Notamacropus eugenii: one gene and its partner. The protein of the gene in region 1 interacts with the protein of each later gene in a pairwise test. Links are inferred from orthologs where the notes say so. Each region holds a gene or a part of one and is shown in the gene's direction. Other genes may lie near its edges.

What was found.
Region 2: the proteins of RASSF5 (region 1) and STK4 interact in binary tests that used the Homo sapiens proteins (3 or more experiments, as listed by UniProt). The link is inferred for Notamacropus eugenii from reciprocal best matches to the Homo sapiens genes RASSF5 and STK4.

Annotation. Positions count from the first base shown.
Region 1 is NC_092873.1:432,870,912-432,875,288, reverse strand, and holds the start of RASSF5 (ras association domain-containing protein 5), read left to right. Parts: upstream 1-1,372; 5' UTR 1,373-1,436; coding exon 1,437-1,890; intron 1,891-4,377. UniProt on the Homo sapiens protein: Potential tumor suppressor. Seems to be involved in lymphocyte adhesion by linking RAP1A activation upon T-cell receptor or chemokine stimulation to integrin activation.
Region 2 is NC_092872.1:521,329,731-521,334,107, forward strand, and holds the start of STK4 (serine/threonine-protein kinase 4), read left to right. Parts: upstream 1-1,502; 5' UTR 1,503-1,684; coding exon 1,685-1,719; intron 1,720-4,377. UniProt on the Homo sapiens protein: Stress-activated, pro-apoptotic kinase which, following caspase-cleavage, enters the nucleus and induces chromatin condensation followed by internucleosomal DNA fragmentation.

The DNA of each region.
Region 1 (4,377 bases):
AGGTGAACCCAGTCTGGCAAGAGAAATTGCTCTGGACTCAAACCAAACCTGCAGGGGTGAAGGACTCTTCCTGCTCAGGGGTCCGCCTGTACCATTCATATCTTACTAGGATTGCCCTGGTCCCTTTGCCTGGAAGGCTGCTTGGCAAAACTGAGACGGGGGAGGGGGGAAAGAGAGAGGAGGGAAGGAAGACTTCAATCAAAAGTGAAAGTCTGGCCTTTCCAGCCTTTCCTGCAAGTTGAGACAGTTTCTCGGGCTAAGAAAAGGAAGCCTAAGTAGGGACCTAACAGCGTCGCTCCAAGCGTCTAGGGCCTTACCGCAGGGGTGTGGGGGCGCTGGGTTTGGTTCTACACCCACCCCCTCGCTCTCCAGGCTCACGTCTGCTTTTTCTCTTGGGGAGCCGGAGAGGCCAAAGATTTTAGTCGAAATGAAAATTTTCCAAGGAGGAAGAGAAATCTCCTTCCTGGCTGGGGCTGTCGGGGAAAGGGGAAGGGGGGAAGGGGGGAAGGGGGGAAGAGACTGCAGTCGATATATTACTGTCTTCCTCCTTATCGGCTCCCCCATCCCCCACCGCCAACCCAAACCTTACCCTTCCCGGGCCGTTCCGTCACAGTACTGCTCCTTTCCCTTTTCATGCTGATGTGTTGGCTGAGGGGGGCCAGAAGTTTCAGATCCTGTGGATTTGAGCTGGGGATAAGAGGGGTGTGTGCGTGTGCGTGTCTGTGTGTATGTCTGTGTGTCTGTGTCTGTGTGAGATTATGTGAGTCTGTGTGTGTGTGTGCGTGTGTGTGTCTGTGTGTATGTCTGTGTGTGTGTGCCTTTGTCTGTGTGAGCTTATGTGAGTCTGTGTGCGTGTGTGTGTGTCTGTGTGTGTGTGAGCGTGAGCGTATGTGTGTGTGTGTGCCTGTGTCTGTGTGTGAGATTATGTGAGTCTGTGTGTGTGTGCGTGTGTGTGTCTGTGTGTGTGTCTGTGTGTATGTCTGTGTGTGTCTGTGTGTCTGTCTGTGTGTGTCTGTGTGTGCGTCTGTGTGTATGTCTGTGTGTGTGTGTGCCTGTGTCTGTTTGTGTGAGCTTATGTGAGTCTGTGTGCGCGTGTGTGGCTAGAATGTGGTAGGAGTAGAGTAGAGGGGGCTTTCTGCCCAAATACTTTCTCTGCCTCCTCACCTGCCCAGTCTTTTCGGGGCCCTCCCCCAAAGAAAAAGGGGCCGCGGGCTGTACACCTAGCACCCCCCACGGCCCATCCCACCAGTGCTTCGGGTGGTCCGTCAGTCTTCTGTCACTTAGTGGATCCTTTCCTCCCACCCCTCCCTCTCCCCGCCCCCGGCCCTCCCCGCTGGCTGCGGTCCCTTTAAAGGCGCGCCCGGCGGGGGCCGCCCTTCTCCTGGGGCTGGCTCGGGAGTCGCGTCGCAGTCTTAGGGAGCTGCGGCAAGCCGGGCATGGCCATGGCGTCCCCGGCCATCGGGCAGCGCCCTTACTCGCTCCTGCTGGACCCCGAGCCGCCGCGCTATCTGCAGAGCCTGAGTGGCTCCGAGTCTCCTCCGCGGCCCGGCCGGCCCCCGCGCCGCTGTGGCTCCGTGCCCCTCTCCACCGCGCCCGGGGCGCACGAGGGGCGCGGAGCGCGGGGGGCGCTGGCGGGGGGCCTGGAGCCGCAGCCCCGGCCCCCCAGGCTCCCTCGCTCCCTCCGGCCGGGGCTTCAGCAGAGGCTGCGGCGGCGCCCCGGGGCGCCGCGGCCCCCGGACGTGAGGAGCATCTTCGAGCAGCCGCGGGACCCGCGCGTCCCGGCTGAGCGCGGCGAGGGGCACCGCTTCACCGAGCTGGCACTGCGGACTGACTCGGGCTGGTGTGACCTGTGCGGCCGGGAGGTGCGGCAGCGGGCGTTACGCTGCGCCAGTGAGTGCGATCGGGCAGGGGTGAGGGCCGTGGGGAGGTGGGCAGAGAGCAGAGGGCAGCGGGCTAGCGGTCGGGGGTGAGAGACAGCCCGGGAGAAACGTCTCCAAGCCGGGGACAAGGGTTTCTCCCTTTCTCTGACCTTAAGGAGCCTGTGGAGGGCATATATGGGGGTCCCTTGTCTTGTCTACTGTAACTGCTGTTACACATCTGGAACCTTTTGGTGTCAGCCTGGGGAAGGATTTAGGAGCTCGGGACAAATCGGACCCCACTATCTCCCCACTGAAATGCCTGGGACTGGTAGCCAAGGGCACTGGATTGTCTCCTGGGCACTCATCTCCCCCGCCTCCCCTTCGTGGCTTCTCACCTAATGACCCATAGGCTGTATAATCGCTGCTGTTGTGATTTGGCCGTTGTACATAGGGGGTAATGACGTGCCCGATTGTTTACTAGGATAGGCAAAACCCCCTCCCCCTCCCTTCGTTGGAAGGTTAGGTAATATCCACTGGAGCAGGGGTAGAGGAAAGCTCCCACCCCCCGTGGTTGGAAATAGATTGAGATACCAGGACAAACCAAGATCCTAGCCACCCAATGATCTCTGAAATCTCTGAACTTCTGTTTCTGTTTTGCTAGCCTTCCTCTTCCTCCTCCTCCTAGATTCCTGCAGTAGTTATTATCATCCTCTAAAATTATCCAGCTCTGTGTGGTTTCCCTCCCTCTGTAGTTCCCGAGCCCCTATTGGCTCTTATCCACTCCTCTCCCTCCCCCAGCACACATACATAATAAATCACTGGGTACCTAGAATATGGATTTTCTGAGGAACTCTGCAGTGATGTTGGGTGTCTGTCTGTATTATTTTCCATATTTTCCCTACCCTGGTATAGAGTACGAATTTCTTTAATGGGTATGTTTATTTTCTAAAGGATGTTGCAGTTCTTGGCAAAGAATTTAATAGATTCATCTAAAAAAAATTTCTCCACCTAAATAGTGTCACAGCCTCTGACAGGCATCACAAGTGGGCTGTGGTTTGAATCCTTCCCTAGAAATGCTTTTCCAGGTAATGCCTTTGACTCCTTAGCACCGACTCTGTGGTATTGGGCAGAAGCTTTCTTCCAAGCAGTTCTTCAGAATGCTACTGTGAAAACCCTGCTGTGTGCATCTGATTTTGTAGACCACAACAGACTCTAATTTGTGCATCCCAACTGCAGCCTTTCCTGGGCTATAGGAGGAAAAAGGAGGAAGACCTTAAGTCTGACTCAGGCAGGAGTACTTAATGGCTGAGAATATGGCTATGGCTGCTGTCAGAGCTCCTCCAACACTGAAGCATAACCTCCCTCTGTCTAGAAATGCTTCTGATGTTCCAGAGAAACCAGGTGGAATATCCCCATGACTCTTCAGGAGGTATTCCTTGATTCTCTTGGTGGAAGGCTGTATGCCTATGACAGTCTGCCTTTCGCTACAGAGTAAGGGCAGATACCCCAACTTGGATAGGCTTACAGAATCACAGGATGTGGATGACACCTGAGAGAGCATCCATCCCCTCCTATCTCTGCTCTCCCTTCATTTTACACCAGAAAAATGGAGATGATAATCATTTTTCCACTGGGAAGTGTCTTTATCATGGCTTTGTTTTGGAGCAGGGTCCTGAGAGTTGATTATTGATCCTGGACTCTCTTACATGTGACTTTTAAAAATTTATTTTTTGACTTATTCAGGGATGTAGTATTAGGGGTACCTTGTATGGGTGGAATGTATACATGTCTTTGTGTATATTCACATGTGTGTTTACATGTGAATGTATATGAAGATGCATGCTACTGTGCAGCTGAGTGACTAGATCTTCATTTTCGTTCTTCCATAGACTAGCTGATAAAGGAGTATCTGGTGCTGAGAATGCTGGGTTAAGTGTCCTAAAAAATCCCCCCAGTAGAAGGAAGCCCTTTAAAGGAAAAGACCAGTTTTTTTTAGTTTTTGTTATATCTTTGTATCCTCAGTGCCAAGGAAAGGCAGGATGGTAGAGAGCGAGCCTCTGAATCAGGAGTCACACCTCTAACACATACTGGCTTATTTACCAGTGACTCCAGGCAGCTAAGATTCCAAGTTGCAGAGTGGGGACTGACCTGTATTGGTAGAGGGAGTTTCCTTATGGGAAATTTTCTGTACCAATGAAATCTCAGGTCTAGCCTTAAAAAAAAATAGAAAAGTCTGAATTATTATGGTATTAAAAGATAAACTATGTTGTTATTATACAATACTATACATTTTATGCATTTCTGAGTTTCTGAACTTTTCCTGTGTTGTCTGCTGGCCTTTGACTATATCTGAGGCTTTCATATAACTCCCCCTAAATTCCTATTTAAGTTCTCATGCCAACCTAATATATGCTGAAACCACAGTGGGGAAAGTTGAAATATGGAAGGGATAACTGTAATAACTATGGGGATGGGGTATGGAAAGGATAACTGTGACTTAATGAATGACAGTTTCTTT
Region 2 (4,377 bases), on another chromosome or scaffold:
AAAGGTCAAGGTTACAATAACCTTAAAGAAACCATTACTGTTCTCTTAGATTTAGCATTCCAAGAGAGTGGTCACATCTGAACCTGAAGTGAAACTGTCCTCTATTTACTAGATATTGGCCTTGGGAAGCTCACTTTGCATCTCTAAACATTAGTTTACCCATCTATAAAATGGGAATAGATAATACTTTCAACAGAGGAAGCTAAGTGGCTAGAGTACTGGGCCTAGAGTCAGGAAGCCCTGAGTTCAAATTTGACCTCAGATCTTCACTAACTGTGTCACTTAAACTCTGTTAGCCTTAATCCACAGGAGAAGGAAATGGACAACCATTCCAGTATCTTTGCCTAGAAAACTCCAGGGGGAGTCACAGAGTCAGACATGACTGAACAACAATTCTTTTAATACTCACTTCCCAAGGATATTGAGGAGAGCTCTTAATAAACACTAACGTATTACAGAAATGTGAGTTATTATTAGTGATAGGAATAAAAACTTATTTATCTGGCATTTTACAAAACACATTCTCTACAGCAGCAGCCCTGTGAGGTAGATAGATCGTGTAAAAAATATGATCTAGCTCTGTCGCTTCCAAATGAAAAGAGACATGGGTTCAGGCTGGGACCAGATAATTACTGGCTGTGTGTAAGTAAGGAGGATTCTGTCGTCTTTTCAGAGGGGAGTGTCTCAGGATCCGCTGCCAGGGCAATGTCTAGTTTCTGAGTGTTAGATGCTAACTCCCTAAACGGCCCCCAGGGTCACGGGTGGTCACTCCTAGGATCACAGCGGTGGGCAGTCCTAGGCAGTGAGATAGCGATGATGGCACCGCTGGCACTATGCCTTATGGAGAGTGGGCACTGGTCAGCACGTGGGGAATGCCTAGAGGAATGCCCGCACCTGCCTCCACCTGCGGCACCGAGGCTACGGAGGAGGACGGGCAGGGCACAGGGCACGCGGGCGCCCGGCTCCGTGGACGCCCCCCTGCCGGAAGGGGGATTAGGAAGTGGTGTAGGTGCCCGGTGCACCCATCGAGAACACCAGCCTAGAATAAGCTCAGACCAGGAACCCCCAGCTGCCGTCCCGTCCTTCCTGCCGGGCCCCACCGCCTCTCCTGAAATCAGGGGTCCAACTGCGTGACTGCTGCGCTTCCTTCCAGGACCATACCCTGCCGCAGCAGGGCTTACGGCGACACCGCAGAGATGCCACTGGCCTAGGACCGTGGAGGAAGGCCTGGGCTCGAATCGCAGCTCTGGCGCTTACTGGCTAGGAGACCTTGCACTAAGTACTTCCCCTCTCTCCCGCCCCAGCTTCCCCCTCTGTAAAATGGGCACGTGGGTCGCTGCCGCGTGATCGCCATGCCCTCTCTACTGCCCAGCACTGAGACCCTGGCTGAGGCGCCGAAGGCCGCGGGGCTGCCAGGCACTAGTACAGACCCCTGGCTGCCCCCTTGCGGGGCCTCTCTGGCAACGGTATACTTACTCTCCCGGCCCCGCCCCCGAGGGGCACGTGATCCAGGCCCCGCCCACTGGGAGCCTCTCCACCTCCTCCACCTCCCCCTCCCTTCCCCTCCCCTCCCCTCCGCGGCGGCCCCACCAGCCCCACTTCCGGCCCGGGCGGAAAGCGGAAGTGTCGGAGGGACCGGTTGGGGATGGGGCAGTAGCAGGTTCGAGCTGCCGGCGGCCGCGCTATGGAGACGGTGCAGTTGAGGAACCCGCCGCGCCGGTGAGTGTGTGTGTGTGTGTGTGTAAGTGTAAGGGGGAGGAGACGAATATGTGTGAGTGTGTTAGGGGGAGACTACGTTTGCGAGTGTGTCGGAGGAGGCTGTGTGTGTGAGAGGAGAGGCTGTGCGCCAGTGGGAGGGGGACCCGTGTGGGCGTGAATGTGTGAGTTGTGAATGAGGGGTGAGGAGAGTGCGTGTGTGAGAGAGGTGCTATGTGTGTATGTGAGTGAGAGGAAGGGGGTGTGTGTGTGCGTGCGCGCGCGTGTGTGTGAGCGAGTGCGGGAACACTGTGCAGACCTCGAAGTGGGGGCCGGAGGGCCGTGGATGGGGTTCACCGTGAGGAGGAGAGGCTCCCTACGAGCCCAGGGATGGCAGGAGGAGCCTGTGGGAAAGAGTTAGTCCGAACGATACCTTTGCTGGGTTCCCCGTCCAGTACTGGGGAAGTGAGAAGGGTGCTGGGTAAACATCTAGGTGATCTGCATTAAGAGGACTGTCCTCCTGATTGAGTTATCATCCTTCAGAGCTAGAGTCTGAAGTGACCCACAAGCGCTTTCTTTATATTCTCCTCATAGACTTTTAAAATTCAGTCTGCCACCTTGGGCACAGAGATGGACAGAAGGGAAAGTAGTGTGCACTTCTAAATCTGTGATTCTGACATTTCTGAGGACCCTTCTCTATCTGTGTTTTAAGGTTCCTTCCACTTCTGAAGTTTTGGATCTGAAATAATAATGCCCTGTCAGTAACAGAGCAAATGCTGTTTGCCTCCCTGAGTTAGGTTCTCACACGTGTGTCAGGGATAATGAAATAAGAGCATTCTTACTTTGCTCAAACTTGTGATTTGTGAAATGACAAGGCAAGGTCGACTTTACTTTGCTTAAAGTAGTCATTTGTTTAAAAGTAATTTCTTCACATATACTGACATTAGACAGTTAAGACTCAGAGCTTGTCTTCAGTAAACTGTTGATACTACCCTCAGGATTCTTTGGATGGCATGTGCCCATACTTTGTTCATGTTGGCAAAGAGCACTTTCGGTACGAGTTACAGAACTACTGACTGATCACCGAGGCTAAGTTTAAAGGCTGGTTTAAAGGATTGGTGACAGTGTATATGACAATATATGCAAAAAACCACATGTGTAACTTTTCAGGTTATCATTTGGACTATGCGCAAGCGTTTAAGAACTCTTGATATTTTGGATCTCTGGTCTCTTACTCTTACTTCAGAGAGTAAATTGATGCTTTCTCATCTTGTACGATTCTTCTCTTGTTTCTGTAATTTCTCCATGAAGGACCTGCTCAATGTGCTTAAGACCTTCCTGGAGTTCTTTGAATATCACAATATAGCATGTGGTCTGTCCATCTGTTTCCAGAAAAATAGAAAAAGTAATAGATTGTTCGTTTATTTTAAAAAAAGATGATTAAGAAGACATCAGTCATTGTCAACATGTTTTTGCTTATTTTCTCATTTCTAAAATCTTTTGAGAATTGTTGATCCTTGATGAAGACATGACAGAGGAATGGGTAGACTGTGAACAAGGACTTTCCACAGCAAGTTACATCTTCATAGTAATATAGTTGATTAAGAAGTACAGAAAAATGTAAGATTCTACTGTGTTTATCATTTTCTAAAAATTGGTAGAAAAAATGCATCCCTAACACCTTTACTCAAATGAGAAATTTCCATATAAAGATTAAAATGTTACACAAATGTTAAAATCGTGTAAGATTCCATGATAGGCACTCCTAGGGAGATCATTTCATTGATCCACTAAGTGTCAATCTCACAAAACAAGTAAGACACATGTTCTTGTAAATTGTTCACAAGTGTCATAGAAGCTAACCTACATACAACCCAAATAGAAGAGCGATTTCCTGTCATTAGCAAGATTGTCTTGATACTGCTAATGTTTATACATGACATTGTTCTGATTACCTTGAGTTCCAGAGTGCTGCAGGAAGATCCATAATCATTAATTGTTTTGGTTGTTTTTTTCCCTGTATAGATGTGTAAGCAAAAGTCACTGAAAAAAAAAATATGTTGCCCAGGCAACATTTAGTGAAATAGGAAGTTCACTGTGATAATTGATCATTATAGATAAATTTGGACGAGTGTTATGTTATGAATGGATAATGAGATGAACTTCGAATTGAGTAGGAGGAAAAGATCGGACTGAATCATTTGGGAATTTGCACCTCCTTGTTAGTGTCTTAAGTTGCTCTCTGCTGTAAAAGAATAACTCTAATGCTAAAATTCTGCCATTGATGCTAATTATCTGTCAAGTCATCACGCTCCACTATCTCAGGAAAATCAAGGTTGAAGGTACTCTGGATGTCAATGGAAAGATGCATGGGACTTGTAAAGCTGTAGCATTTTTCCAAAGATAACTCGGGGGTGAGAAGCAGTATTAAATTAAATTACTAAGAACCTTTTTTGATTGAAATCTTTATTGATGATGTAGTAATGCCCAGGTGTAAAAATTTCAGTCTGAAAATTTTGGGGGAAATACAGATGAAACCAGTAGTTACCTATCCTTTAAAAATAATTGTTTTTATCTTATCATTGTTGATATGTTTTGTTTCTTTATTACCAGAAATTCAGAATCTATCCCTACCTCCCACATTTCCTCTTGTGACAAAGATGAATGGAAGCAGTTCAGCAA